4 linked regions of the Medicago truncatula genome follow. The main gene of each other region encodes a partner of the protein of the gene in region 2 in a complex. Links are inferred from orthologs where the notes say so. Each region holds a gene or a part of one and is shown on either strand. Other genes may lie near its edges.

What was found.
Region 1: mediator of RNA polymerase II transcription subunit 13 (region 2) and mediator of RNA polymerase II transcription subunit 32 share a complex: the UniProt entries of both Arabidopsis thaliana proteins name them as parts of the mediator complex. The link is inferred for Medicago truncatula from reciprocal best matches to the Arabidopsis thaliana genes GCT and MED32.
Region 3: mediator of RNA polymerase II transcription subunit 13 (region 2) and mediator of RNA polymerase II transcription subunit 30 share a complex: the UniProt entries of both Arabidopsis thaliana proteins name them as parts of the mediator complex. The link is inferred for Medicago truncatula from reciprocal best matches to the Arabidopsis thaliana genes GCT and AT5G63480.
Region 4: mediator of RNA polymerase II transcription subunit 13 (region 2) and mediator of RNA polymerase II transcription subunit 17 share a complex: the UniProt entries of both Arabidopsis thaliana proteins name them as parts of the mediator complex. The link is inferred for Medicago truncatula from reciprocal best matches to the Arabidopsis thaliana genes GCT and AT5G20170.

Annotation. Positions count from the first base shown.
Region 1 is NC_053044.1:57,777,176-57,784,101, reverse strand, and holds mediator of RNA polymerase II transcription subunit 32, read right to left. Parts: upstream 2,154-6,926; 5' UTR 1,993-2,153; intron 1,772-1,992; 5' UTR 1,744-1,771; coding exon 1,297-1,743; 3' UTR 906-1,296; downstream 1-905. Other genes in the region: BURP domain-containing protein 9, read left to right, coding at 1-364; phosphatidylinositol 4-kinase alpha 1, read left to right, coding at 4,990-5,982, 6,319-6,660, 6,791-6,926. UniProt on the Arabidopsis thaliana protein: Component of the Mediator complex, a coactivator involved in the regulated transcription of nearly all RNA polymerase II-dependent genes.
Region 2 is NC_053044.1:41,139,693-41,147,860, forward strand, and holds the start of mediator of RNA polymerase II transcription subunit 13, read right to left. Parts: upstream 3,476-8,168; 5' UTR 3,322-3,475; exon of another isoform or gene 3,197-3,321; 5' UTR 3,156-3,196; coding exon 3,132-3,155; intron 1,731-3,131; coding exon 1,657-1,730; intron 1,575-1,656; coding exon 1,435-1,574; intron 1,298-1,434; coding exon 1,211-1,297; intron 987-1,210; coding exon 899-986; intron 822-898; coding exon 741-821; intron 1-740. Other genes in the region: elongation factor P, read left to right, coding at 5,857-6,054, 6,135-6,165, 6,288-6,301, 6,414-6,464, 8,015-8,084. UniProt on the Arabidopsis thaliana protein: Component of the Mediator complex, a coactivator involved in the regulated transcription of nearly all RNA polymerase II-dependent genes.
Region 3 is NC_053044.1:48,895,096-48,902,787, forward strand, and holds the start of mediator of RNA polymerase II transcription subunit 30, read right to left. Parts: upstream 3,338-7,692; 5' UTR 3,266-3,337; coding exon 2,915-3,265; intron 94-2,914; coding exon 4-93; intron 1-3. Other genes in the region: thylakoid lumenal 17.9 kDa protein, chloroplastic, read left to right, coding at 5,084-5,328, 5,416-5,530, 5,616-5,685, 6,534-6,754. UniProt on the Arabidopsis thaliana protein: Component of the Mediator complex, a coactivator involved in the regulated transcription of nearly all RNA polymerase II-dependent genes.
Region 4 is NC_053045.1:55,065,974-55,073,990, forward strand, and holds the start of mediator of RNA polymerase II transcription subunit 17, read left to right. Parts: upstream 1-4,731; 5' UTR 4,732-4,941; intron 4,942-6,616; 5' UTR 6,617-6,717; coding exon 6,718-6,812; intron 6,813-6,972; coding exon 6,973-7,168; intron 7,169-7,706; coding exon 7,707-7,820; intron 7,821-8,017. UniProt on the Arabidopsis thaliana protein: Component of the Mediator complex, a coactivator involved in the regulated transcription of nearly all RNA polymerase II-dependent genes.

The sequences.
Region 1 (6,926 bases), about 17 Mb from region 2:
CATTCACACAACTAGCTATCCGACAACATCAGGTGTGCGTTTGCAAAACTACACCATTTTGGAAATCTCAAAGGATATCTATGCTCCTAAATGGGTAGCTTGTCACCCTAGACCTTACCCTTATGCTCTTTACTATTGCCACTACCTAGACATAGGCAGTAGGATCTTCAAAGTTCTTCTAAGGGGTCAATATGGAGACATGATGGATGCTTTGGGCATTTGCCACCTAGACACGTCTGACATGAATCCTAATCATTTTATATTTCAACTACTTGGAATGAAGCCTGGGGAAGCTCCACTGTGTCATTTCTTCCCTGTAAAGCACATTGTATGGGCGCCACTCCCACCAGAGGCCACCAACTGAACAAGAGGGAACTAGTTTGTATCTTTGTTAATCGGTGTCTGTGTCGTTCCCAATACTTTTCATGTTGTTGTGAATTTCTCAGTACTGTAAGGTCTTGTTTCTGTGTACTAAATAAGGTATTGTTTGTGTACTAAATAAGGTTTTGTTGGTCTACTAAATAAGGTCTGTGTAATAAATAATAAATAATTGTGTATAAAAATAAACCTTGGTTTGAAGTTTGAACTGTTTAGGAATGAGTTGGCGTCCCTTTAGTCTTTCAAATTTAGGTGGTTGTTCAATCATGAAAATGACATTAAAATAATAATCTCTATATAGACCATGAGATTATTGAAAGACTAAGCTGAAGACATATTCTCATGGGGGTTAAAAATTTTGAATGGCAAATACACACACAGACACACAATTAGATACACACACACACACACTAAAAAGAAGCATACTTATAAATCACACAATCAAGATGATTCTCACAAATCGGAATATGGTGCTTCATATGCCTCAATTGCAAACCTACAAAATCAAAGTTTGAAATTCTACAAACTACAAACCCAATTTACCTAATTTTACCCTCGTCTTACAGGGCACAGAAACACAGGATCACAAGGAAATGGGTAAACCTTACATAATTGTGCATATGGTATTAATAAAAGGGTGGGTCAAACCTAATCTTACACTAATCCATCTTCAGTTACAAAAGGGTGGCACGGTATCTTTGTGGGATATAAAACAATAAAACACCAAAGCATCACTAACTGAAAACTTAGAAGTGTTGCATCATGCACTGTGCACATAAGTTACATCCTTTAACATACAGCTACTAAACAGGTAGAAAAACGGCAAAAGCAGTAAAGTCGGGTGCATTTTGAGCGGTGAAAATATAAAATCCAAGACATTATTAATAATATTAATAATCTCATACAGTTAGGTAAATGCTACTGAGCAGCATCTTCAGAAAACCTGGCATCAAAAGGGGCCGAGGGATGTGAAAGAGCTGAACTAGAAGAACCAGCAGGTCCTCCAGAGCCATGCTGCAATTCAATCACAAGCCACCGAACCGCTTTACTCATCTGTTCCAAGCGAACTGCGCTGATTGGTGGAAGACCCGTCATGGTAGCTTGTCCAGGTTTCCCTGCCACATGCCCTGTAGCCTCATCCACTAAACACTCTGATCCAATCCTTTGCTTCACAGACTCCACATACTCCTCGGCTTGATCACACGCTACTCTAAACAATTCCCACTTTTGCTTAAAGCTTTCGAGAGCAGTGTCTGTTGCAATGTTTTTAAGGGCAGTGGAAGTTTCTCTTGCTTCCAGCACAGTTGCTGCTGCAGCAATAAAATCTAGATAGGCACTATTTAGAGAATCAACCACACTGTCCATTAATCCTGTTTATTTTGATGTTAAACACCTATGAAACACACAAAAGGGCAGATAAATCATGTGAACACTAAAAATTATCATCAAGACCAAATTACGATATCAAAATTAACAATACAGAATCTAGGATATCAATCACGCCGCTAGAGCGCGCAATCGCTAGAGAGTGGAGATCTGCTGCGACGCAACTCTAAGAAATAACGCTGCAAGAGAAGGAAATGAAAATTGGGAGAAGGAAAAAAAAAAACTTACGGTGGATTTTGTCTTCTAACTGGTGATAGACTCCGGCTGCGATCCCGGGCAGATTTTGATTAAAACAGGCAGTTTAAGTTAGTGCGACGGCAGCCAATATGACAATGGGTGGGTCTCTTCAAAAATTGATGTGGATTGGCGATTATAATCTCATCTCAATTTTTTTTTAGAGCAATGATATTATTTGACAACTTTGTTTTTCTCTCTTCTTATTGGTCAAAAATAATGGAGAGAAAAAAAAGAAGAGAGGATAAGACGGTCATGTGAGTATAAGTGAGGAAGTTGTACAAAAGGGGAGTGGTTATGGTGCATAAGGAAATCCTTATGCACCGTGCATAAATCCCAACATAATTGCTTCCTACACCTCCAATGTGAGCCAAACCATTTTTGTTCAAAATAAAAGAAATATGATGGTTGTGATGTGTTTATGCACGGTGCATAAGGAAATAACTTATGCACCATAACTTTTGCCGTACAAAAGTTGTCACAAATTGATCATTTCTCTTTTTTTTACTTACCATTTTTTGAACAGATATTATCGTCTATAGTTGTTTGTGACAAAATGTTTGTTTTTTTAATAGAATAAAACCACATTCATTCATTCAAATCAATAGTACATCGGAATACCATTCTTCGGATTTGAAACATTGACGTTCAAATCTTTGATTGAATAATCAAAACACCGCAATAAGACGACAAATCAAACATGATCGCACAAGACGACGAAATACACATCACCACACTCAGGTGACAAAATCACGAAGAAAAAATTAGATCTACGTGAAAAATCACTCATTTAGATTGAAATGGAGAGAAAAATATTAAGATAAATGATTTTAGAAGGAAAAACCAGGAACAACATGTTGGATAGAGAACTTAAAAAAAAAATTGTAATAAATAGGCATGGGCGGTTCTATGGCCCGGCGACCTCGGGTTCCGGCCCAATTTTTTTCAATTTCTTATCTAAATCCTTATGAATATAAATTGGACAATTTATTTAGATTTTTTGATTATTTGTTTGCCACTAAGTTGTTAATTTTTTTGACAAAATGTCATATCTATAGTAGTATAATTAAATAATACAGTTTTTTTAAATAATTAAATAATATAATAGATGATAATACTTCCCAAAATAAAACTATCATATGCATTCACGGATCTAGTGTGGGGACAATGGGGTCAAGCGACCCCACTTGCCTCCACATGTGTATTGTATTTTTAACCCAAAATTATATATATAGTTTGACCCCTCTTTATATAGTATTATTGTTTTTACATAGTCTATTTATTACATTATAAAAAATTACAAAACTAAGAAGGATCCTAACGAGTGTTACAAGAGCACTAGTTAGTAAATCAAAAGAAGTAGTTTTTTTTTTTTTTATAAAAAGTTGTTATAATTATTATATCGATACAAATAATGTTTATCTTTAAGATAAAATTTTCTTTTACGAAATCTTTAACCAATTATCTCAAAGCATATCGTTGGCAAGACCATACAACTACTATTATAATATAAACTATTCTTATATTTGTTAAAAAAATGTTGTGATTGACGCTACGTTGGTGGTCAAAAATAATTAATTATGGTTATATTTTTTATACTCCGCTAGAACTTGACAAATATTTTTAAAAAATCAACATTTTAGGGCAATTATATATATAACTTGTATAACTTTCACACGCTTACACATTTATAAAGTTTTATATAAATTTTTATGATATAACTTGACCCCACTTATTAAAATTTATGGATTTGTCACTGATCATATCAAACTTTTAAGAAATTACAAATCAAATTTAAATTAGGTTACAATACAATCAAAAAAGTTTGATTCCTATATAGCCAAGTGGGTTAACACTCGAGCTACCTAGGCATAACTTCTCTCAACATGACTTAAAAGATTTTTTTTGTTTTTTTGTTTTTTTTTGTAAATCAGATATCCTCTACTCACAACTTGGGAGGTTAATCCCTCAGTGATCATCAACTCTTTCCAAGAGTTTGAACGTTTTTGCTTGCCCATGCCGGATTCAAATTCATGACATTAGTTAAGCTGCAAGATATTTGTGTCATCTCATTTAAGTGTTCTTAGATTAAGAAATATCGGTGAATTGTTGTTTATGTTTCTTCCAATGTTTCTTGTCCATCGGGTACAACGTGGGTATCACTATTTGCCTTGGTACAATTGTGTTGTGGGCTCCTCCGATTTTTTTATCTTCTCAGTCTCATCCTCATGCTAGTAGTAGCTCTACACAAAATGTTGCATATTTGTTGATACTCGATAACACTTCAAAAAATGTTCTTAACGTTGCTCATAATATGTATTTCGATTCCTTCAAAACATTGTGTATTCTAAGACAATTTATGGAATAACTATCTAAAAAATTATCTTTTTGCTTATAAATGTGACGAGGGAGAGTTTAAATTTAAATTTAAAAAAAAAATACATTCCAAAGGCCCTAGGACGTATTTTGATCTTTAGCTATTTATTTATATTTATTTCGATGAAATCTAGTTGAGAATATAGATAAAAAGTCATTATCATTATTTATTGTAGTGACAAAGAAAAAACGAATGCCTTCAAAACATGAAAAATGAATTCACCAACCAAAAATAATTATGAAATGAACACCATGTATTCCCACGCGTGAGAAACTGAAAACGGATGCCGTATCGCTGAGGCACAAGACACACGCCGTGGCCCACTGACCCCACCCCCAATTCTAGTTCAAATTAGACAAATCCAAAACCCGAATCTAAAATTATCGCAAACCCAAAAGGAAAAAGAAAAAAAAAGAATTAAAAATATAAAAAGAAAAAGTAAAAAAGAAAGAGAAAAAGAGAAAAGAAAGCATTAACCATGGCATGGAAACTGCAACGACGAGAAGAAGAGTAACAATGTTGGTACGTGGTTAGAGAGAGAATCGAACGCCACGATCTCTTCTGAAATCTCAACATTCTCTCATTTTTCGTTTGAATTTTCACCCTAATTCGTGATGGAAGCGTTGATCGAATTATGCGACCTCATTGCACAAAATCCATCGCAATTCTCCGATAAACTCTCGTGGATTTGCGATAAATGTCCACCGCCGGAGTATCTTTCCGCCGGATCGCCTAGGGTTTCACGTTCTCAGCTCAATGCCGTTACCGCCGTCGCTCGTTTCTTATCTAACTGCGTAGATTCCACCGATCTACGACCTAAATCAGTCGCAATCGAGTTCCTCCGTTCAATTCCGCATTCCTTTACTCACTCCTTTTGGCCTCAACCGTTCAACGCCGATTTCGTTGCATCTTTCTTCAACGATTTCATTGGTTATGTTTCCAAAGCTGCACAATCTTCGTCGGATTTCGCGGACGAGGTTGCTGGATTCACCGGTGAAGTTGTGTTATCCGCGATTGCGGAACAGGATTCTGTTATTGCTAGGGCTTTTTTGATGGCTGTGTCGCAGAATTTTCTTCCTATTTCGTCTTCCGATGGAAATAAATTGGTTACTTGTTTGATTGAACAATATGCGGCACAGATTGCTGTGGCTGTTCCTAGCGCGCCCGGGGAGCAAAATGCCGGAAATTCCGATAATTTTTCTGCTCAGAGCTCGCCTCTGAGTGGAAATCATCAATCTCAGACCAATTATAACGGTAGTCTGACTAGTAATTCGAGTGGAGCGGCTTCTAAGGCTGCTGGTGATGATGCCACTGCTAGCACCGCTTCATCGAGAGGTTCGGTTATGGCAAATGGGGGAAGTCATATATGGAGGAGTAATGCCGATCAATTGGCGCAAAATTTAGGTTTAAATGATGGTGGTGGATGCTCTTCTGGGCAACAGGTTACGTCCTTTGAGGAAGAGTCTGTGGACTTTTTGGAGAGACAAGAAATTGCATTTAAATTGATTGCTCATGTGTTGGAAAAGGTTCATGTTGATCCTGCGCTTTTGGAGCAGGCTAGGTTGATTGGGAAGAAGCAGATTCAGTCTATGTCTGCTTTTCTAAAGGTAATCATTTTTTCTTACAATGCCTTCAGTTTGTATTTATTTTCTCTGTTATGATTCGTCATGGTTTATGCACCGTTGAATGTGGATAGTGGAGTGAGGTTAAAATTTAAACTAGTGTTGTCAATTACGCATTGTTAAAATTCCGTGCTATGCGATAGTGCTATATCGCCACTATAGAGGCTATTTGATAACATTTTGTACTAAATAGCTTATTGGGGAACAATAGCAGTTTGTCCAAATACCGCTATGCTATAGCGGTATAGTGCCACTATAGTGGTTAAAGTTTAGGTTTATTTGAGGAGTGAGACATGTTTTAATGTCTGGAAGTTCTTGCAGATAAGGAAGAGGGATTGGCATGAGCAGGGGTCAAGTCTAAAAGCTAGAATTAATACCAAATTGTCAGTTTATAAAGCTGCAGTTTCTATGAAAATCAAGAGCCTCTCGGCATTGGGTTCTGATTCGAGATCCGTCAAGAGATTGGTTTATGAGGCAGTTGCGATACTGATAGATGCAGCCGAGGCGTGCTTGCTATCTGGATGGAGGAAGTTGAGAACATGTGAAGAGCTCTTTGGTTCCTTGCTTCTTGGGGTAGCACAAATTGCCATTGCCCGAGGAGGTCAGCCGTTGCGGATTTTGCTCATTCGCCTAAAACCAATTGTGCTCAACGTTTGTGCTCAGGTGCACTTTGGTTACTTTTCAATATCATATTTCCATAAACATTTTGTTTTCAAACTTGCATTCCAATTGACATATAACTTCATGAAATTTGCTTTGCTTGTTTTTTAAATTCTTTTGAAATGTTACTTAGCAGCCTGAAACATGGAGTAGTAACCAGGGGACCATGTTCGAGAGTGTCACAAAGGCCAGCTGTCAGATTATCGAATCCTGCTGGACTAAGGAGCGAGCCCCTGTAGACACGTACATAATGGGGTTAGCTACAAGCA
Region 2 (8,168 bases):
TCTATTCTGAGGTTGTTTGACAAACTTCGGAGACAGAGCATTGAAATTTTTCTTTATCACTGTTTGTTTTACACACAAATAGTGTAATTAAGATTTAAATAGTAGAGTACATGCATGAAGCATCAACGTCGAGCTTCTTTTTACATGGATGAAGCATCAACGTCGAGGTTCTTTTTAGAATAACTTAGAAGGAAAAAACGATGAGTAAAATCCAGAAGAAGACACCACGTGACTTTTTAAGTGAGTGAATATGAGACGTTAGATTAAGAGAAATCAACAGCTATTATTTGGTGTCAATATAAACATTAACACCTGGTGTCAATGCATCCTGACTCAACTACTTATTATAAAATAACTTATTACATTTTTAACGGGAACACATCATTTGTTGCTCTTTAACAAGTTAATATTTTTTTTATTCAGATCATTGCTGGCTGCCCACAATGTTCCCCACTGACAACGTGAGAATAATCTCCGCTTGCCCGGGGACAAAGTAAAGGCTAGCTAACACTTTTTTTTTCTGTACTGTTGATTGCAATCAGATTTCGTTATTATTAGCTTTCGTAGTTCCCTTAGATAGTCGGTAACTGATTTGATTCCAAAATTATAGGATAATGTTTCCTTTTCAGATTATATTTCACTTGTTATATGTGTGTGTGTACATAACCCTGTAAATATTAGTGAAATATTTAGATTTAATTTAGCCAAAAGTGTTAAATCTAAGTACAGTAAAAATATACCTGAGCAGTTCTTCACTTTGAAATTGATGGACCTTCAAGAATACATCTCCAAATCTCATGTAATAAAGCCCAAGCAGTGCTCTGCCAAATTCAACAAGATAAATGGCAAGATATGACCAAATTTAACATCACTTTGAAGAATTGAGGGGGAGAAAAACCTTTCAATGCAATTCCTTAAAGCCTGAGAGAGAGCGGCTGCAACTTCTTCTGAATCCCCAGGAGCGAGCCAGAGCCCAGACGCGACAGCTTCATCCAAAAAACTTTCCCGTGTAAGAGTGTTTTCAAAAAACACAGAAGTATAAAAGCTACAAAGCCACTATCTTTGACGAAAGAAATGTATACTGTAACATCCCGGTATCTATAAATGGGATTGTTATATTATTAAATATTTGTTGTATATTGTTTGAACTTTATTATTTAACGGGGTATTACATATATGCCCAATACAACAGTTCTGTTAAGTGTGATACCTCGTAATCCAGTTAAAGCTGGCTGAGCAGTTTCAGAAACTGTTAAATGACGCCCCGGAAGAAAAAGCCACAGCTTAATCTTTTCATCTGCATGTTAAGTACAGAAAGCAGAAATTTAGGTAGCAAGAAAATGGATGACCATTTCCGTTCTTTCCTTTTGCTAAAAAGACAATAAAACTGTAAATAATCACAGATGACAAAACCAATAAGTCAGCAATCTCTACCAGGATTATGCAAACCCTGAGATGGATCCCACGGTCCAACAAAAGAATTGGTCCATGCGCTGAGAAATCCTTCCTTCTGCAGTTGCAAATGTGATGAAAGCACCACTAACATTGCAGCATCCTTCTGGTCCGCTTTTACACTGTTTGAACAGAAGATGGCCCATAAATAATATTAAAATAGTGAAGCAGAAAGAAGGAGAGAAATAGAAAATATATTCCAACCTTTTGTCAGGTAGAGGGTTCAGATCAGGTTCGTGAGGGAGAAACTGAAACCATGATATCTGATGCAGACTACCCTGTACAAATTTCAAACAATATACACATAGTTATATAAATATAAACAATATACACATAGTTATATAAATATAAAGACAACCAAATAAATTGTGAACAAAAATGGAGGAGCATGGAATATACATTAATTTATGGTAAAAGCTAACTAAACAGCAGCATTGAGATTTAACCTTTTGCACTCATTTCTAAAAATGATATTATTCTTGGAGAAGGAGATTTGACCTTGAGATCTTTCATTAGACTAACAGACAATTTTTCTTCTATTTTATATATCCTAGTGCTGTCAATCGCAGAACGATGAAATAGCGGTTTGTTCAAACTCTGTTATGCTATACCACTATTTGATAGTGCTTTTTACTAAATCGCATATCGGGTAACAATAGTAGATTGTTAAAATTCCGCTGCGCTATAGTGTCACAATTAAATCGCATATAGCGTAACAATTGTAGTTTGTTAAAATTCCACTACGCAATAGATCCACTATTTGAGAACAATATTATGAAACCAGGTGGGCCAAGACGAAGGTTGATATCGATCCACAACATTAATTGACATGATCGAGCAAGTAAACAATATTTTTGTCATCATCCTAGCATTAATACGAGCCGATACTTTATTGTTCTACTAATGTATTTACTATTTATTTTAAAAAAATAAAAAATAACAGTCGGATAGGACACGTGTCGCCTCCTAGTAATTTGGTCACCCGCCGAACACCTTTCTTGCCATATCCGTGTTATTTATTACACACGGCTTTTCATTGCCACTAATACCGATCAAAAAGAAAAGGAAACATCTTATACATAAGACGAGTTCTTGATCAGGCAATTCACATACCAGCTAGGGTGATATAGCTAACTCGCAGTTTCATTAACATAATCCAACAGGACCAATACCAAACGTGATTATGAAGGCGACAGAAAGTCACAATCATCAGTGTTCCAGCCCATGGCAACCAAATATCGAATGACGTAGTTACTTAGCGAATACGTAATCTCTAGTAAACCCTAACAACGCTTGATCGGGGAAAAAAATCATAATTCCAGTATATGATGAAATAGAAAGAAAAAAGCAAGTAACATAATCAAATAAGTTTTTCATTTGTATAAAACATATATCTACAAGAAAAATTTAAACATTCACAAACCAAATCTAACTAAAACAACACAAACACCTTGTGTGAAAATAAACATGAGATAATTTACAAAGTTTTCGGTTCATAAACAAATTAACCGACTTAATCATCATGAGATTAACTACAGCTGAAAAAATGAAAGCATGTTTTGTGATATACTAACTAGGTTAAAACGAAATTGAACCCTAAACTATCATATTCCAGCTAAACACGCAAAATAATGAGAATTGGTGAAGAAGAGTATTGAGATTAAGAAGAAATAACGTACGATTTTGAAAACGTTGGTCCACATAGCTGATGAACGGTTCCGGTGAATTGAATAGGGTTTTGGATCTGCGTTAGGGTTGGGTGAGACTTATGAAGCGTAAACGTGCTTCTGCTCTAGAAAAGCGAAACGGAAAATGCGAATTCGGAATCTGATTCAGAAAATGTAACACTGAGTTTGATTTGATACTTACTTCGCTTACCGTTTAAACTGAAAAGCGATTACGAAAATCGCTTCATTCAGCATTCCCGCAAAGATCACTCGAGTGTAGGGTTTTTTTTTTGTTTTCTCGATAGAGTTGAAATTTGTGACCGCGCTTAACTTAGTTCCAGTATTCATGACAGAGTTAAGAGTTGTTGGTGTTTATATATAGCATTGAATTAGACTCAAGGTATTTTTTGGACAATGTTACTTTTTATCGGTGTCAAAAAAAAAAAATACTAGTATTTGTATATCGTGTATTTATTCATAATTGTTGTTGACACATTGTATAAAGTTGTGTCACACGAATAATTTACTGAAATGTTCATCGGCAGTTAAGTGTCGAATTATGGAACCGATTGCAGTTAATTATCATTTTTAACCGTACGATAATATGTTAATTGTTATGTTAATATTTTTTCTTGTTAAAACTTGAACCTTTAACAATTTAACTTTTTTAATCTTTTAGCTCAAACCAGTTTAACTAGTCAACGATCTTTTGTTTAATTGGTGCGTAAAATCTTTTAACTTTTAGTGTTTTTTCAAAAATAAAACAAAGATAAACTAACTAAAATGACGCAGCAATTGATTGTCGGGTCAAGAGCTTTATAGTTTGAGTGATGATTTGTGTCACTTACAAATAAGAAAGAAAATTGATGTAGCGTGTGTGTTTTTTTTTTGTATGGTGAGTGTTTTGTTACAACGATTGTTTTTTTTTAGGATTGCAACGATTCGTTAAATAATAAATTATAAATAACTTTATAAAAGGAAGAAGTCATTGAGGATTCATGTAAAAGAGATAACCACAATCTCATTGAGTATCAATAAAAAAATAACAACGACGACTAAAATATGGTTAAGTGGCTCGTTGACTCAATAAAAGATGGTGGGAACATACCAAAACACCCTTGAGGCTTTCAAACAAACGTGAAATTGCAAAAATACCCTTTAAATCTTTCATCTTCCTATTATCCTCCCTCTCCCTTATTCCCCCGTCATCCACCACCACTTAAATCAAACTCAAATCTCTGCTCCTCTTCTCAAAGTCACAGACACATATCTCAAGTTAATGATTCTCCTTTCTTCCTCCTTTGAAGCCTTCTTCCTTCCTCCTTTAAAGCTTTGTTATTCTCCTCATCTTCCACCATCCATTTTGGCACCTCCAACATTTTACCATCAAAGGGTCGTCGTCCCCCCTTCCACCACCAGTTTCGACGCCTCAAACATAATAGTCCTCGGAACCCAGTTAAGAAGAAGCTTGCAGAATCTGGACCCACCATCGATTCTTAACCTCATCGCAGCTTAACACCACCGTGTCGGTGACTAAGTTTCGATTTCCTACCAATTTAGAACTCACCCCATAATTTCCTCACTCATTTCAATTTTATGTTCTTTAAACAAACTATTTGCTTCTTCTTGCCTTGGATTGGGAAAAAATGTAAATTGAAACCGAAAATGGATAACAAGATATATATATATATATATATATATATAGAGAGAGAGAGAGAGAGAGAGAGAGTTCAATTAAATTCATGCAATTGGTGTTTTGATTTTGAGATGATGAAGGCATGGTTGGAAAATTTCAACCACCGTGCTATATGAGTGTTTTTTAGATGATTTTGACAATTAGTTTCTTGTTAGTGGATTTGTAACAAAAAAATTGGATAGTGTTTTTGGTAATTGGCTTGGTGTTGTATGAATCAATATATATGTCCCTTCTTACGTTCTCACACACGATCTCATATATGACTGTTCATCTTATAAAAAATGCATACAATTGTTGACTTTATTGGCAACGTTGTAGGGTTTACGATATTTTTTTTTCTTCCTATAAATATGTTGTTCATTCTCTAAACGATTTGATTCATTTCATTACACAACCACACATTTATCTTTAAGAAGTTCTTCTTATGTTGTTGCGACAGATTGTTGGGGATCAAGTTCCCTGCTTTGAAATTTGTTATGTCTGCAAACCATGACCTTCCACTGATAGCGAATAACTGTTCATTTGGGAACTCTGCTACAATAGTTTTGTCTTTCGTGGTCAACTCTTTATTTTCCAACCTCGAGAGGTGATCCACCACTACATTCTCTGCTCACTTCTTATCTCGAATTTCCAAGTCAAACTCTTGCAATAAGAGTATTCATCCTAACAACGGGGGTTTTGAATCCACTTTAGTCAACAAAAATATTTAAGAGCCGGATGACATGTAAAAACAATAATAACCTTGAAAATAATTAGATAAGATGCTGTGACATGCGACAATAATGTGACATAATGACTAAAGCATGATCAAAATAAGTTAGAGTATTAGTTTATTACAAACCTGAAATTTAGAGAATTTGAATGCGACAAAAATAACATCAATCTTATTACAAACTTCAAACTTAAATCACAGTTTAGACCGTTAGCTCAATCACAAAATTGTCATAATATTCATATTCCATCGATCTGTTAAGAAGTGCGTGCGTGCGTACTTGGTACCCAGGGTTTTTGTGTTATTCCGGCGCGAGCTCGAGTGAGAAAATGCAAGCTGCAATGAAGCAGAAACTGAAACTCCTCTACAATTCCAACTTCAAATCTCTCTTTACACTCTCATCATTCAAATTTCATTCTTATTCCTCTCCGCTAAACTCATTACCACATTCTTCCACCGCCACCAACTCCTTCACCACTCCATGGTCCATCATTCAACGACGTGGAAACAAAATCGTTGGTTCTGATGTACGCATCGCATCACCTTCACCTTTCACTGTTTTTAAATCTTTACCGATTCTTATACTTTTTTACATTTTTCACTGCAGATCAGAGTCGGAAAAAAGATCGGAAAACAAGGTTACTTTGCTTTTTCTATTATCATTCAATTGAAATTTCGTATTTGATTGTTCATTTGATCAATTTCTTACGCGTATTTAGTTATTTTCTTCTTACTCACAAATTTTATGGCTTAATTCCAGGGCGCATTTACGAGGTAATAATTCATTTCTTGACGAGTTGTTATCAGTTTCTATTCATTCATTCAATGTTGTTATTGAAGACTTTTTTTTTTTTATTTTTTATTTTTATATTGTGAACTTGTTCAGGTTCTTAAAGTAGATCATTCTCATGAAGGACGAGGAAAAGCCACACTGAAGGTTTTTTTTCTTTCTTTTTTCTATTCAAGATTTTACATGTTCCCAATCATTATTTATCAGCTCACAGATGTTATCTGCTGCCTGTTTGGATTGACCTATCATGATAAGTGCTTACGTATAAGTTCACATAAGCTATTTCTATAGCAAAAGATAAAATAAAGAAATTGTTTTTGTATATGCTATAGGTTGTTTTTATGAGTATATCAGAGCACTTATGAAAATAAGTTGAAAAAAGCTTTGAAAATTGTCATAAGCTGTTTTCTTAAGTTCTCCCATACAGTATCACAGAACCTATTTCAGTAAATAAGCTCAAATAAGCTAATCCAACCTTTATTTGAGGTTATCTATTGACATAAACACCTGTTTTCAGCTCTCTACAAAATAGCTTATGAAAATAGTTTATAGCTTATATGAAAATAATTTAACTTTACTTTATCTTTTGTTATAAAAATAGCTTATCATAAGCGCTAAGTTGCAAATTAAGCCGTATATTCAAACGGGGCCTTGGTTTTTCATCCATTACTATTAGAGTTTGAAATGTAATGCTGTGATGTGTGCATAAATGTACATTGCCTTTAATACAAAATTAGCCAAGTGAATACTGAATATTAACGTGCAAGTTATATTTTAAAAGAATTATTACTATTTTATATATTTACGATGGCTTTTATTTGACCTATGAGAGGCCTTTTTGCCATAAATTTAAAGGAAAAATGTATTTTCTTATTTTCTGCATTTTATTTCAGGTAAAATACTTGCAGGGGCACGGCCTCTCATGTTTTAAAATATTTCCTTTTTTCATTAACATATTTGGTTATTGTGTGTGTGCGTTGTAACAAGACACTGACTTGGTATTTTGGCCATTTGCTCTCTGAGTCTTTGAATTTATATCTTTGGTAATTGCTCTCTCTATCGGTAAATCTGTGCCTTCTGCGCTGCATACTTGACACATAGAACCAACTTCTTGTTGCAAAATATGCCATGCTAGATTTTGTAATCCACCTCTCCCTTTGGTAGGAAAGTTTTAGTTGTAGATTACTAGATTTACTGGCTTGACCGAAATGGCGAAATGTTAGAGATGTATTTTTGCAACACATGATTCATAGGAAAACAGTTTTCCATGAAGCAGTCTTATTGAAGGATTAGGATCAACTAATAACTGATGAATACACAATTTTTCGTACCTTTAACATAGATATTGATACATGATCTCAAAGGATTATATTGTTTAATTTGATCAAGTAATGATTTTTTTAAGAGAGTGTTGATTTAGGTTTTATTCTAACTTACCAGTCTTATTTGTGTTTAACATGGTATTATCCAAAAATAGGCTTTGTGATATTTGGACAGTGGCATTTGTCAATCCATTTTAATTTGCCAACTGTGGAACGGCAAATGATTAAATGCAATCTCATTTTGCTTGGTTTGTCCAACTGCCTATGCATATTTATGCTATTGGTATTGGATATAGTTGTTTATTGTAACTTATAACTTGTAGACTCTCAACTCCATGCATAACTGACAATTGTAGCTCTTTCTGATGATGATAGGTGGAACTTCTTGACATTATCCAGGGAACCAAGGTATCACAAAGAATTGCCACTGATGATGAGTTCGAAAGTATGTCCCTGCATTCATTTACAAATTTATCAACAGCATAACATCATGTATTTTGTGTATCGGTGTTGAGATTTTTTATTTAGT
Region 3 (7,692 bases), about 7.8 Mb from region 2:
AACCTTTCTCAAAGAAGAGGCTTGCTCTTCCAATTTCTCAATTTCAGCTTCGTCCATAGGGCTGTCAGCTGAACCACCGTCAAATGTGTTTGCCTATAATACTAACCAAGTTAGTTTAACAGGAAAACAAAAGCTTTGCTAGCTAATATGATGGTCATACAGCTCGCAATAAGATGCACGTTTGTGAGTCAATAACCCCGATCATTTAACAGAATATGGAGTCTTAAGTCTATGTAAGGAAGACACTGATTTCTGAATAGAATTTTCTTTTAATGCAGCATCTTTTTCCTAGCAGTATAATAGAGGTGCAATAATATAAAAATAGTGAGTTCGGAATTTATTTAGTAATTTACCACAGTCTCATGAAGTTTTTCATTTAGTCGCTGTTAAGATTTTCAACCCCATTTTAAAAAGACATCAAACCAAACCTTGGTGTAAAGAGATTTTTATTGTCTCTTACCAAGCCAGAAAGATATCTAAAGGAATTGAAACTCACAATTCATTAGCTAAAAATTCAGAGAACAAAACTATAGCTAGTTACTTATTGAATTTAAGCAGTTTAAGTAATAAAACATAGTCAAAGTCAAAAAGCAAAATTCATTCGTTAGCCCACTCAATGCTCCAATCGGTGCTGCAACATTATAAGGTTCTATAAATAGGAGTTTTCAAATTTTTCATCATGTTACGCTATTACCGGAATATCATGTGTTAAACTTATCTGTGGTATAAATTTAAAGCCCTTGTGCATATGTAGAAAAAAATACCATCATGTAGTCGTACTTCATTTCTAAGATTTCAATTTATATCTCCGAACTCTGAAACTGAAGTATTTTCAGATTTCCTCTCAAGGTGATGAACTCTGAATCTGAAGTATTTTCAGATTTTCACTCAAGGTGAAGAAACTCATCCTAATACCTCCTGCTGTCCTTTTCTATTAGCTCATCCTAATATCGTACGGAAAGCCAGATTTGAAGCAATATGAGGTGTTGGTAGATCATCACAGATTAATGTTGGAAATTCCGCCTTAATTGCGGTCCGCCCCTAGTCGCCTAAATTGCGACCTTTGGTTAGCCTTCATTGCAGCCTCCAACACCTTCATTGTGTTGGCTTTGAGGGGGTGGATTTAGTCCCACATTGGATAGATAGCCCTCTTGAGAAGAGTTTATAAAGAGGAGGCACTCTTCACCTTACAAGCCGGTTTTTTAAGGATGAGTTAGGCCCCAAATTTCAACAATTAACATAAATCACATTTCATATTGGAGTTGTTCTATTTATAAAAGTTCAAACGTAGAGCGAGTTATGACTCAATACTCCAGTTGAGCACATGAGTTGGCAACTATGTTCTACTTGATTGGGAGATCCATCCCAGTCAACAACGTTATACACGACTGTAATTTTATGAACATTGCCTGTGATATATACTAATACTAATACAAGCCGGTTTTTTAAGGATGAGTTAGGCCCCAAATTTCAACAATTAACATAAATCACATTTCATATTGGAGTTGTTCTATTTATAAAAGTTCTAACGTAGAGCGAGTTATGACTCAATACTCCAGTTCACCACATGAGTTGGCAACTATGTTCTACTTGATTGGGAGATCCATCCCAGTCAACAACGTTATACACGACTGTAATTTTATGAACATTGCCTGTGATATACTAATACTAAATCCTTCCTGGGAGAGACCTTAAAGTATCACAAAATTCAGATAATTGCATCCCAGATATCACCACTAGGAGAGTTATGAACTTATGAAACTGACTCACAACATCAATCGCAAAGAATATGCCAAAGCATGGCCTAGTCACAGTGACCACTAAAGGACCTGTGTGATTTACGAATTTCCAATTTTTATCAATAATTACAAAAAATGTCACATTGCTTTCATTCCCTTTCCTATTTTGAAATATTCGGAAAAAAATTTGAAAGACGTACTGAATTGTTTTTATGGTTTCCTATCTAAATATTATAAAATAGAAAACAAAATAAGAACAAGTATATTAAGTGTGTGCCAAAAAAAGGGAGCATATTAAGTGATAACCTATATTTATTGTGATACATATGAACCATCAATAGTAGCTGTTTAATCAAAGATTCAAAATCAATGTTTAGGATTAAAAAAAATGTAGTGATCTTCAATCTTTCCCCTTTGTTCATTAACCTGAACAATACTATCCACTCTGTCATATGAACACGGTATTGTATGCTCTAATCGATGGTCTCTCATGAGTGGCATTGCATAATTCTATCCATTACCTATCAACGCTAAGACTACCCTACAATTTTTTTCCACCTTTTATTTAATTGAATTAAATGATTATAACCACGAGCTTTTCATTGATACAAGACTGTGGCATCTTTGTTTTTGTTTAGTCTCAACTATTTTTGTGATTTCCTAATTTTTTTACTTGGCCTGGAAACAATATTTTTAGAAAAGATTAGAATCAAATTACATTTTGAAATTTGATTAAGCAATTCATTGTAGCTGCATCAAAGAAAGATGAGCGCATATGTCAAGCGAGGATGAAGGTAGGGGATGAGAATATGGAGACGCGTGACATTTTAATGAGATCAGACCATTAATTTCGATTGAGCGGCTGTTATTTAGAGCTTGTGCAAGAGAAGCATGAGTTCTCACTTGATTCTCTCTCCTATATATAGCAAAAGGTAATCTGTGTGTCGCATCGATGAATAGTTACTTAAGAAAAAATAAGATTAGGAATACAATCTTTACAATGAACTTGGCAACTCTTATTGCTGCAGAAAAGAGTTTAAAAATTAAGTTTTGGACTTGCCAATTCATTGATTTTCCACTAACCTAAAGTTCAATGATTCAAAAAATCTAGATCTAGTAACAAAAAGAACACACAATAAAACCCGAATTAGAAAACTAGGGATTCGAAATTGCACCTTCTGAGAATTGGGAATAGCGGCAAGAACACTCCGAAGTCCAGCAACAGCATCTTTATACCTCAAACGAGCTTCATCAAGAGCTCCACCAGCACCACCACTGGGAGCAGCGCCGTCAGCGTGTTGGCCGGAATTCTCGGAATTGGCGTCACCGTTTGAAGAAGGAGCATTGGGAGAGGTAGCAGAGGAAGGAGAAGTGGACCACCAAACGGGATTGCAAAGCTCGTCGTTCATGGAAGATAGTATCTTGAAAGCATGTTGTATGGTTTCTTCTAAGTATTTGTGACCTTCAATTGCTAAATCTTGTGTCGTTTTGGTTGACATTGTGCCGTTTATGGATTGTTCTTCCATTCCAATGCGAAGTTTATCTATCTTATGAGTCTCAGGAATTGCAAACCCTAACTTTGATCGTTATCAATGAGTAGAAAAAACAAAAGCATGGCGGAAAAAATTAAAAATGAGATGAAAAAAGAAAACGTCGACAGCAGGGTTCGAACCTGCGCGGGCGAAGCCCAACAGATTTCAAGTCTGTCTCCTTAACCACTCGGACATATCGACTGTTTTGTCTATTACGATTAAATATAAGTATATATTTACAACTATGATTATTATTAAAATGAATAATAGATTTGAAAAATTATAAAAATATAAGTTATAATGTATATGTTGAATCTCAATTAACCCAAATGATTTGCGGTGAGATCAACTTGAACTATTTTTCTAAACTTTTTCGGACAAAAATGTTGTATAAGAAAAGAGAGTTGTGACATTTCATTTTCTTTATGAGGTAAGATCTTGTCAATAGTGTATCGTGATAAAAACCCCAAGTTTGTAGAGATAGTGAAGGATGTAGATTTCAATTATGAGTAGTTGGACTTTATTTATAGGAGTTGTCACCCTAACTTCCTCTCTTATTATTTAGGGATCTTCTAGAAATCACTCCACTACGCAATTAATATCATGTCAAAGGATCAAAGTGGTTTGACTGAGTAAGAGAGCTCTCAAGATAGTAGTAGTATGGTCAAATATGAGGATTATCATATGGGTATGGGTCGAGTACAAAGAGCATGAAGCAAGCATGGGTCAAAATGGGAATATTTTTATGACAATCCACAATCCCCCAAATATAAGACTTGTAAGGGAAAAATGGTTTAATGTAATAAGACGAGATAATAAGAAATATATGATTGTCCACATTTATAATAGTTTCAACAATACGAGGTGGAGTATGATTCAAAGCGAGGCAACGAGGGATGAAACAAGGTGGAATATGATTCAAAGCGAGGCAACATAGGATGAAACAAGGTGGAATATGATTCAAAGCATGACAATCGGGGATGGAATTTGATTGCCATGATTTGTTAGGCATCGAGCCTAAGTCCAATCCATTAGATGTTTGACCTAGTTAGAGGATCATCGTCTCTGCAACAACCAGCAAGTAGCGACTTTTAATACGAAGACAAAGACAAGAAGCAAGGATGGAAGGGATTGCTACCAACGTTACAACCTCGATACTGAATGATCCGACTCCTCAAAGATTTATCCCTTCCATTACGTATACCTCCTCAAATAGTAGGAATGATACACAATTATACTCTGCTTACCTTTCTCTTTGGATTGAAGGACAAATATATAGTTCTAAATGTTATTTATCGCGACATAATTCAAGCAAAATTTTCACGAAAAGAGTACTGCATGTATTTACTCACTTGTATTGCACCCAAACATCGTGTTTTGCGCAAAACAATATATTATGATTGATATGTATCTTATCGTGATGTCTTCACGATATATCTCTCGTAGTATATAGGAAAGCTCTTATAAGTGTTTGTTTTGAAATTTATGGATACCATCAACTACATTTTATTTTAATCAAACTAAAAAATGACAATTGAGATCTTTCACTTTTGTAATTATACTATTGGAGTCATAGTCTTTAATTTTCGTGGAAGAACTTAATTAACCATCTTTATTAAGATCTCTCTTTCTAACTACATTGTTTTGACAAATCCTAGACCTTATACATTATATTTTTCTTTTGTTATGTGGTGAACAATAACAGCCTTTCAGAAAGGATCAACATTTCAACAGAACAATCGTCACCTATGGCTGAAAAAGAATGGAGCAAAAACATGATGCAGTGAGTGGATAGAAGACTCCATAAAAATCATGAGTTTGATACTTCGTCTTCTCCATCCTCTTCCTCAAACTCACACTAACACCATTCCCAAACTCAATTCTGATAATAAACAAAAGTTCCTACCAAATCTCTTCTCTCTAGCCATTGCTGTAACATTAACATCTCCACTACCTTCTCATGCAATCCCTTCCCTCAATTCTCAACCCCCTCCAACCACTCTTAGTACCACCCCTTTTTCTCAATCAAAAAACTTGCAACTTGGATTAGAAAATGGGTATGCTTAACGGATTCTATATAATATATGCTTCATAATTAATACCATGGATTCTATATAATATTATTTGTAACCTTTCTCTTGCAGAAAAATTAGACCTTGCCCATCAATAAATCCTGGTTGCATATCAACAAACCCGAAGTCATCATCTTTTGATTTTCCTTGGACGGTTCCTGAAAATTCAGTGGATAATGCTATTCAGGTTTCTAAGCTATTACTCAGAGTTCAAAAAGCATTGTGTATTTTTATTATCTCATGTTGTGATTGTTCATAATTTTCTTTTTCAGAGACTACGTGAAGCAATTCTAGAGACTCAGAAAAATGTGAAATTTCAGCCCGTGGAAGATACCCCAGATGGTAATTCAAACACAGTTCTGTTTTTGATCAATTTACCATTGGTGTTGTTGTTATTTGCTAGAAATTGTAGCCAATTAGCAATGAAAATGTAGAACATGATAATTAAATAATATTGAAGTATAAGAAAAAGAACCATCAATTGAGGGACTAAGATGACGAATTTTATATATTTTAGGGACTATTGTTAAATGGACTCCAAAAGCTAGCTCATCAAATGAGGGAGTCCAAGCACTACTTATATACAATGCCTAGGTTCGTTTTCCACATGCCCTACAAAATTCAGATTTGAAGCCTTGTCAAATGAGCTTGAATCTCACTCTCAAAAATTAGCTGGTAAGATGAAGGTGCACAGACACATATGCACACAGCACATTGCACAACTTAGGAACACTGTCAATGTGGGATTCGAATTCAACTTCAATACTTATAATTTTTATACGTTTTCAGGACTAAATTGAAGAGAGTGTGATAATTTAAGAAATAAATTGATGGTTTATTCTTAGACTCTAGTGATGAACAAGGAAAGTTGTAATATATTTTATGTATTACGTTATAAATGATTTTATCTAGGTCAGGCCAAAGACAATAAGGAAGGGTTAATTGTTTTACACAATGTTTTAAAAACTGAACCAAACTAGACAGTTCAATTGCTTGAATCGTGAATCAGCACTGTCTACAGTTAGGTTATTTGAACGATCCGATTGCAGTTTCGTCTATATCTGAGCTGTTTAAAGTTGTTGAACCATGACCTATAGGTCTCTCTGATTTGATGTATGGTTCAGTTAATTAAAACATTGGTTTTACAAGCTACTAGGCAAAACTTGATTTATGCTAAAATGAATATACAGGACAGTATCTGCAAGCTGAAGTTGATGGAAAATTTGATAGAGACGTACTTGAGTTTCTGGTGAAAGGTGATGTGGTTGCCTTTAGGTGTATGGCAGCAAAAGTGACTTATATATACCCTTTCACTACTGCATTTGGAGATTCAAAGGGTCAAGAAGCAAGACTCAAGCAAATTAATGATCAATTGGGCTGGTATGCTCCCAGTTTTGATTCCATGGAGTAGTTAATGTTTCTATTTTATGTTGCTTTAATTCTTTGGTTTGTGTATAGCTGAATGCCTTTATTATTACATTCTTCCTTATTATATACAATTTCATGGCCTTTGTTGTTTTGCGGCTAAGCTTAATGCTTGTTATTATAAACAATTTTATAAATATTTTGTTTGATAGCAGTTTCTAAGGATGTTTGTGTTAGCTTTTGCCGCATTTAACTTAGCCTAACCGTTCGATGATTATCTTAGTCCGAGCTATTTTTTATTTCAACCTACTACTTATTCATTGTTTAGCATTTCCAATTGCTCTTTCCTGTTTTGACTTGAAGTTATTAAGGCTACTTCTTTTTTAGAATAAGATGAAAAAATAACCTGTCTATTGTGACTTGTAAGCTATAACCTTAATACACCTTATTGCCAAGTTTTTTTAGGAAAATATTAAGGTTGGTTGAGAATTATTGTTCAAGTATTATTTCATGAACATTATGAATCATGCTTCAAAAATCATCTCCCCAAAACATACTTTACATAGGACTAGCAGTAGGTTGTCAGTTATGTGCCTTATCCATTGTTCATCTTAGAAAACAATTATCAAGATCACGTCACAGCATCAAAAAACTTGGATTTGACCACATTCCTTTAGTTGTTCTTTCTCCAAATCCAGTATTGGTAGATGCTTGAGGTTGAAGTGGGAGTGGTGTAGCCACAATTGTGTGTAAGGATCATCACAAAATGGTACTTCAACTTGTTCCCTCACATATTTTAAATCTGTTTATGATTGATCAATATTCAAGGTTGGTACAAGTAGCTAGAATGATGAATGGAGAAAAGTTTGCTCTCCTCCCCTTCCTTTTGCAAAAATCAACTAAACAAATTTTAAATATTTTCTTTCCCTTCCTTCTCACAATTGATAAAATTTGAAGTGTAATATTTTTCTAGTTTTCCACTTA
Region 4 (8,017 bases), on a different chromosome or scaffold from region 2:
ACCCACCTCAAAACTTATTTATATATGTTGCCTCATTTGTCACCCTTTTCATTCTCTCAAGCACGCAATAAAAGGAAATTAAGCAAAGTTCCAAATAGCAGTTGTGATGGATAGCTCAAGGTAAGCTCAAATTCTTCTCTTTATCTATTAATTCAGTTATCATAACAATGCATTTGATGTGTTTGATAAAATGAATGAATGAAGAAATATTGTTTAGTTTTTGGTAAATTTTTCCTTAAATGATGTTTGTGTTGATAAAAGTAACAAGCACTTCCAATCCAAAGGTAATAAACTACACATATATACAACAGTGATAAGAGCGTATGTACAAGAAGCAAAATATTTCGCTGCACATATATTTTAAAGTGTTGACACCATTGTTGAAGTCTCAAATGATCTTTATATGCATGCTCAGTGATAGATTTTTGGCAAGTGTACCAAAAGTATCGAAGTAGTAAAAATATCGTTCCCACAAGGACTGATTTTAATCTCAATAATTCAATTACGTTGTAAATTAGGATGTATAAATGTTCTTTTAGTTTGCCACTAGGCAGTTGATTGGGTTGTTTGCATAAGTAATAACAGAAAATAAAGATTGGTTTTAAGAATAAAAGAGAGATGAGATTAGGTCTTTTGAATCATCGATGTTCCCCTAATTGGTATACTGCACCTATTTGTATTAATGATTCTCTAATTCAACGATAGTTAACAAAATAGCTCTAATCAATCCCTTGAGTTAGGACCCTCTTCTCAAACTACAGCCCCTAATTCCTTAGGTGGACTAATAATCTTTGAATGTTTTAAAAACGTTAACCTAATATCACTAACAAACGATTATCCATTCCTAGATTAACCATGTTTATTAGAACAATTCAATTAGGTCTAAATCGAAAGTTATGGTCAGTAGTCATTCGTTCTCACTAAATCATGTTTATATTTGATCATAATATAAAAAGCATTAAGAACAATTAAATTGAATAAAAACTAGATTGTCATTAATAATAAATAGAGTTTCACAGCAACATGGATCAATTAGGGTTACAAGGATTCATCTCAGACCTAATCTTTAAGAGATTTAGCTACTCATAATTGAGTTTACAAATAGCATAATCAATGGAAGAATTAAAACATACATAAACTGGATTAGAGATGATGAAATCGCCCCTTATGCAGTCTTCTGGGTGTTAAAATCGTACTTTAGCTCTCCAAAATCGTCACCCTTATGTTTGGAACTGACTTCAGCTTAAATAGGCAAATCTGGATGCGCGCAAAATCGCGTTACGGTTGGCAAAATCGCACCACGATTTCTTCAAAACCCTAAATTCCTTCCAGATCCTTCCTTAAAATCGTAGCGCGCTGCTCAAAATCGTACCACGATTTCAGCAGTTCGAAAACATGCCTCTCTGGTCAAAAATCGCATCACGGTAGTGAAAATCGTGACACGATTTGTTGCTTTCAGTTCTTCTAAAATCTTTGCTTTTAACACCCTTGAATACTCCATATTGCACAGAACTCTAACAAAATTGTCAAAATAAATCCTAAAAATTACGTAATGACAGCATGTCATCACTCAGTGTTGTCAATTGATGATGTTTAAGCCTGCAAGGGAGATTTTTATTTCCCTACGAGGTTCAGAGGAGAAAAGGTTGAATTGACTTAAGCATGCAGTTGATAACCCATTGCCATTCATGAATATGTAACTTGGAACCTGTGTGACTAGGAAGTAAGCTAGAAAGTACTATGAATTAAGAAGTAATCTAGGAAGTACTAGTAACTATGAAGCACTGTTATATTATTTAGTCTTTAATGTTGTAATGTTCCATTATCTTTAAATTAAGAAGTAATCTAGGAAGTACTAGTAACTATCAAGTACTGTTATGTTTTGCCTTTTAATTAGGAAGTAATCTAAGAAGTGCTAGTAACTATGAAGTACTATTATGAAGTACTAGTAACTTATGTAATGTTTCTATACCTTAATGAAGGCTTATGTTGTGTGATAATTATGCTTGTATTTTTTGTTCACTTATGTTGTTCACCCATCCTCCATAAGCTCTATTTCAGTTTTAACTGGTTATGTATAAGCTCTATTTTTTGGTTCAATTTTAACTGGTATTTTGGCTCTGATTTGCTGGTTTTCTTGTTCAGTTCTTACCACCCTTTTGGTTCAGTTTTACTGGTTTTTTCAAAGCAGTTTTTACCACCTCTTACTTAGGACTCATTGAATGCATTAGACTGAGTGTTTATGTTTCAAAGCATGTTTCTTATGACTGTAGATTGTGTGACATTCAAAGCATGTTTCTTGTGACAGTAGATTGTGTGACATTATGATTTCTTATTGTTCTAACATGTGGGTTGCACTTATTTACATTGCAAAGGGACCGCATGCATACCCCAAAAAAATATCACAACCACCCAAAGCAAACAAGCAAGCACCCAGGCTGAAAGCTGATGCATCAGCGCCCCAAACAGAAACAGAACCATAGCAAAAAATTATGCTGTCATCCCTCTGATACAACACCAAAAGCGCAGTTGCTACAGCAGCTCCAAACCCAGAAATCAAGGACACAATCACGACCGGATAGGTGGCCTACTAAGACACTCATTGTGTTTCTACACTTAAAAACAATATCTATTGAGATGCAATTCCATGATTTCTGATTGTCATACACAACTTTATTAGAAGGAATGCTGATATGGATGTTGATTTCAATCGATATGAGGATGAAGACATAACCCTTGATCACGATGATTATCGTAGATCAGTTAATTTGGATTTATCTCAAAATTTAAATATAGCTTCTTCATCTGAGATGAATCATGTTCGAGATCAAATTATAGAGTTCAGGAAAAATAATTAGTATTGTATTAATGTTTCAAACTTGTACCACACTTTATATTATATTTTCTATTTGTAATTTTAATTGAGTACTTCATGTTTAACGTATATTCCCTGCATGTATTTTTATTTGGATACTGTCTGATTAACAAGTTATGTTAATCTTTCCCTAAAAAAATAAATTTATGTTAAGCTTATAATTTTATTGTCAATTTAATAAAAAAAAAAATAGATGAAAAAACTAAACAAATGTCAAATTTTATAACTATATACACAGACACATGTTAAAGCCCATTTTGATCTTTTACACATCTAAAAGCAATTCTGACACAAAACATCCAAACAACATTTTTCATACAAAGCACTTCTGTTTTGAAGGTAACCAAACATAAATTACTTTACGTTCAACTCACTTTTAACCAAAATCAATTCTATCAAAATCAATTTTTTCCACCGCACAACCAAACACACGCTGAATGGAGTACGATCAAAGGGAAGAAAAAAATAATTTAATTTTACGCTACAATTCAAAAAAATTAATATTATGGTTTTTCTTAATATTATGGTTGTAGGATCCACTATCAACCTTTTGTGTGCATCTCTCTCCATTTGTTAAAATAAATGGAGAAGATCCTTCTCCCATTTGGCGAGCATTGTGGCATGAAATTGAGATAATTTGGGGTGATAGAGTCATAAACCTTGTGGTGTAGAGGGACTTTAAAGTTATAATTGACATAATTATACATTAGATTACGGATGATCACAAAGTCATAATTAATTGAATTACACATGAGATTACTATTACACATGAGATTACTGACGATCACACATTGCCAACCTTAGTCTTCGAGTGTTAGTGAAAATGGATTGACACGTCAAATTCAACCATATTTGCAAGAGAAAGTATTATGTACATCGTCGACCTGCAAACTTTGATCTCAATTTAAAGAATACTCCCTCCGTCCCATAATAACTAAGCCATTTGCATAAAAATATTGCCCCAAAAAAAATTGACCCATTTCACTTTTCGGTACAACAATAATTACTTTTTTCCAATTATAATTCAAATTAATACTACTTTAATCACTCTCAATTCAATATATTCTACTTTGCGTTTATGATAAGAAGGAATGCACCGATACTTAACAAGACACTCAAAACTATTTCTCTATCTTTCACTTATACACTTTTTCTTAATATGTGTGAAATGAACAAAATACTCAGTTAAAAGGGGACGGAGAGAGTATGAATTTACTCATCTTGAGATGAGTTGAAGTCTTGAAGATCTTCTTAGTTGGTGATACATTTTTACTAGGATTAACCATTAGGGCATCTTTGGCCTTCTTTTATATCAAAAAAATAAAATAAGGGTTAAATATGTTTTTTCAACTATAAATATATCAAATTTTCTTTTTGGCTCCTCTAAAAAATTTCTTCAACTTTTAGTACACCAAAAGTTTTTCATCACTAGTTCACCACTTTTAATCTCTCTTTTTAAGTTAACTCATATGTAGACTTCATATTTTTAATGAAATTTTACGTTACTGAAGTATAATATTATAATAATCTCTCCAAACTAAATAGATTTTTAATAAAACATGAATGAAATATAAATTTTAATATTTTGAACACTTAAAAATTCATATTTAATTAATATTTTATTAAAAAATTCTAATTTTTTTGAGGTGATTGTTATTATAATATTATAGTAGACATTTTTGCATAATTTCATTCAAAAATATAAAAACTACATATTAGTTGATTTAAAAGTATGGATCAAAACAAGTGATGAAAAATTTTCAAGGTGCTAAAAGTGAAAGGGAATTTTTAAATAAATTAAAACGAAAAACTAATATATTGATAGTTGAAAAAAAAAGAAACATATTTTACCTAAAAAAATAATAATTTGTCGTCTAAATTCTCAAGTTCTGGGTTTCTTCTTTCTTCCCTCGTTGCAATAGCGAAGACCCTGAAATTGAAAAGCAGCGGGTTTCAGTGACATGTTTGATTTCAATTATCTCGTTGCATACTAAACAATTACACTAAATCCTTAACTTCCATTGTTACGAAACGCACACATCTCGTCTCACTCACAGCTCTCCAAGGTATGTGTGCCTTTCTCTCTGCTTCGATTTCTTCTATGATTCCCACAGTTGATTCGTTTTCTTGTTCACCATTATGTGTGTTTTATTGGTTTTTGTTTTCTGGGTTTCTAGTTTGTTACCACAAATTCTTATCATTGCTCATCAATTCAAGTACTTTTATTCTTTATTTGTTTGCCCACCAAATGTTTGACACAAATACTCACACAACCTATAGTCTTCTGAAGTGCTTGAATTATCAGTTTGTGTTCATGATTCCATCACATTGCATCTAATTTATTCAACTAGAGTTATAATCTATGTTTACATGGCAAGATGATGGGCATTTATTGGATGACGGTGTAAACTATTTTACACAGTTGATGCACTTCCATTAAACTTGTCATTTTTTGCCCTTCTTGTTTGTTCTAATTTTTCACAAATTGACTTATTTGGGGGAGCCAAATCTGCTTTTATATTGCGGCGGGACATTTTGCAGTATTTTGCGGCACAGTCCATCGTTGTAACTTTGCGGTGGTTAAGTAAAACAGTCGTGTTAACCGCTGCAAACAATAAGCAGCGGCAGTTGTGCAAGAACCGCTGCAATCCTTTTGTTGTAATCAAACGATTTTATTATAGTAGTGTCAGTAAGCAACTGTGGAAAAACTACAATTTTAAAAGGGGGGGTAAAAGAAAAAATAGAACGTATTAGAACAAACAAATAATAAACCATCAATTTTGTCCCTGAACTATCACCTTATCTTCAAAGAGACACTACCCTCCACCCCTGTTTGGGGTAGGGATCGAAGTCTCGACCTCCTTTTCATTCCACTCCTTAACATACACACCCCTACCACCAAGTCAACCTTATAAACCCAACTTAATGATTCTTCACTGCTTAATTCCCCCACCTCAACCACCAAACCAACTTTATATCTTCCAATTTCACTCCTTTGTGATATTTTCCATTTGTATAAACTGCTTGAAATATGTGAATACTTATCTTATTCTAATTTTAGGAGTACCTGCTGTTTTGGTTACTCCTTAAGTATTTGACAAAAGTGCTGAATTTCATTTTGAATTGCTTAACCATTTTATTTGCACCCGAGGCTAATTTTTGTTAATGCTTGGTATGGAGACTGATCTATGTTTTGGAAATTTATAAATACTTTGATGTCAGTGGTACTTGGTGCTTGGTGTGGCAATCCTTTGTGGATGGTTGGACTGGTGTGTTTACTCTGATTCCAGTTTTCTGTGATGTGAAAATGCTGTTTGCGGAAACCATTGTCTTTCTTTGGATTTTATTTTAATCAATTGCTAGCGTTGTTCTCTTCTTGCATGACTGGTCGCCATTGTCAAGTGTTAATAGGCATTAAAAATTGATTCACTGGATTTAAACTTGTACGTGCATTTGCATGCTGATTGATTATAACATATTCACTGGTTAATTGCTAACAGGTTGTCAAATATTTTATTACCTGTAAGAAAATATTCAAATTATATATTCAACGGATAATTTGGTGGCTAATTTACCCTAAATTTTTATTTTATTTTAAATGCTTGTAAGTGTAATTATCTATTGATTGCATAAACATGTTAAAAAGTAAATAAAATTCTTGTTTTCAAACTCTGTAAAGATTTACTTTTCTAATTATTTCTATTGTTTGATTATAAGTTTTTGAACTATTTTATTATTCACTTAGGCTTGGACTTAAAGCTACTGTCTGGTCTCACCCACATTTTCTTGCGGGCACGGAAGGTTTTGTGGAATTTTTTCGGGCAAACAAACTTTTCCAAAAGATGGAAGAGGGCATGGAGTTGCAACTATCCCTTGACAAGCTGCCGATCAAGCGCTTGGATTCCATTGAAGAAAATGGAAATGAACGATTCCCTTTGTAAGCTTCTTCCTCTCCTCCTTTTTATTTCTCAACTAGTATTGAGAACCTGTGCAACGCTCGGGGAAAAATCCTAGAGTTATGCTATCTCTCATAAGAATGTTGAACCCTAATTTCTATTTGTGCTTGGCTTTTTGTAACTCCCTCCGTATTGTTGCAGAGATGTGGATTACGATGAAAAGCGAGTTTCTCTAATCAGGAGAATTGACTTCGCTTGGGCCATTGAGAAGGACGAGGAAAAGAAGAAGCAGAAGAAGAGCTCAAAGGAGACAACACCATGGCAATGGCAGGGCATGGTGGAGAATTTGCAGTTGGCTCATCAGGAGCTCTCTGTTATCATAGATTTCATCAACACTGTGAGTCGCACATGTTTCTTTCTACAATGAATCACCGCTTTTTATGATTTCATCTACATTCAGAAATCTTCATGTCAAGTTCAAATTTCTCTCTGCATATCTGTTTGCAACAATGAAGATAATTGCTTGAAGTTATTTGGTTTCTGAAAAAGGTCTGTAAAAAAGCTCCATTTTTATTTTATCTTTTATAAAAGCTCCATTTGGAACTTGCTCTAAAAGAAAAGAAACAGTGTGTGGCTTAAGAAAATTATGTTTGTGTCATTCATCCAGGGATGAAATTAAGTGTTGAGAAAATGTCTATGAATGTCAACTTACAATGCTTTGAGAAGTAGCAGTTCCGGGTTCATCAAGAAATGTATCACTTCATATAGTCTTGATGAATCTATTTGCAAATGACCAAGTTTTTGGCATTATGAGTAGAAACCATGCTTTAGATATTTTTCAAGATTTTTTTTCCTATGGCCCAGTTCATTATATTGCATGATATGTGCAGACCGACAATAAAGGTATGTTGTTTTGTTGAAATTATTCTGCTTAGGTGGAAACCAACGATGCAGTAACTGTGGCTAGCATGACAAGGCCAAAATCATTACCAAATGAAGCTTTGTCCGACCTTGCTGTATCTGCAGCCACCAAGCTTCAATGCTACCGTGTAAGTACTCTTCTATCTTCTTTTGTAGTTAATTTTTTTAAAAAAAATTACTGTAGTTTGTTTCCAGTTTATTTATGTCCGTAACATTAAGTAAGTTCCCTTTTCGCTGAATTTATAGCTTGTTTGCTCAAACTAAAAAAATAAAACTGAAAACATGGAGCATATTGAGTCTCTAATAACTTGTCCTTGAGTGACAA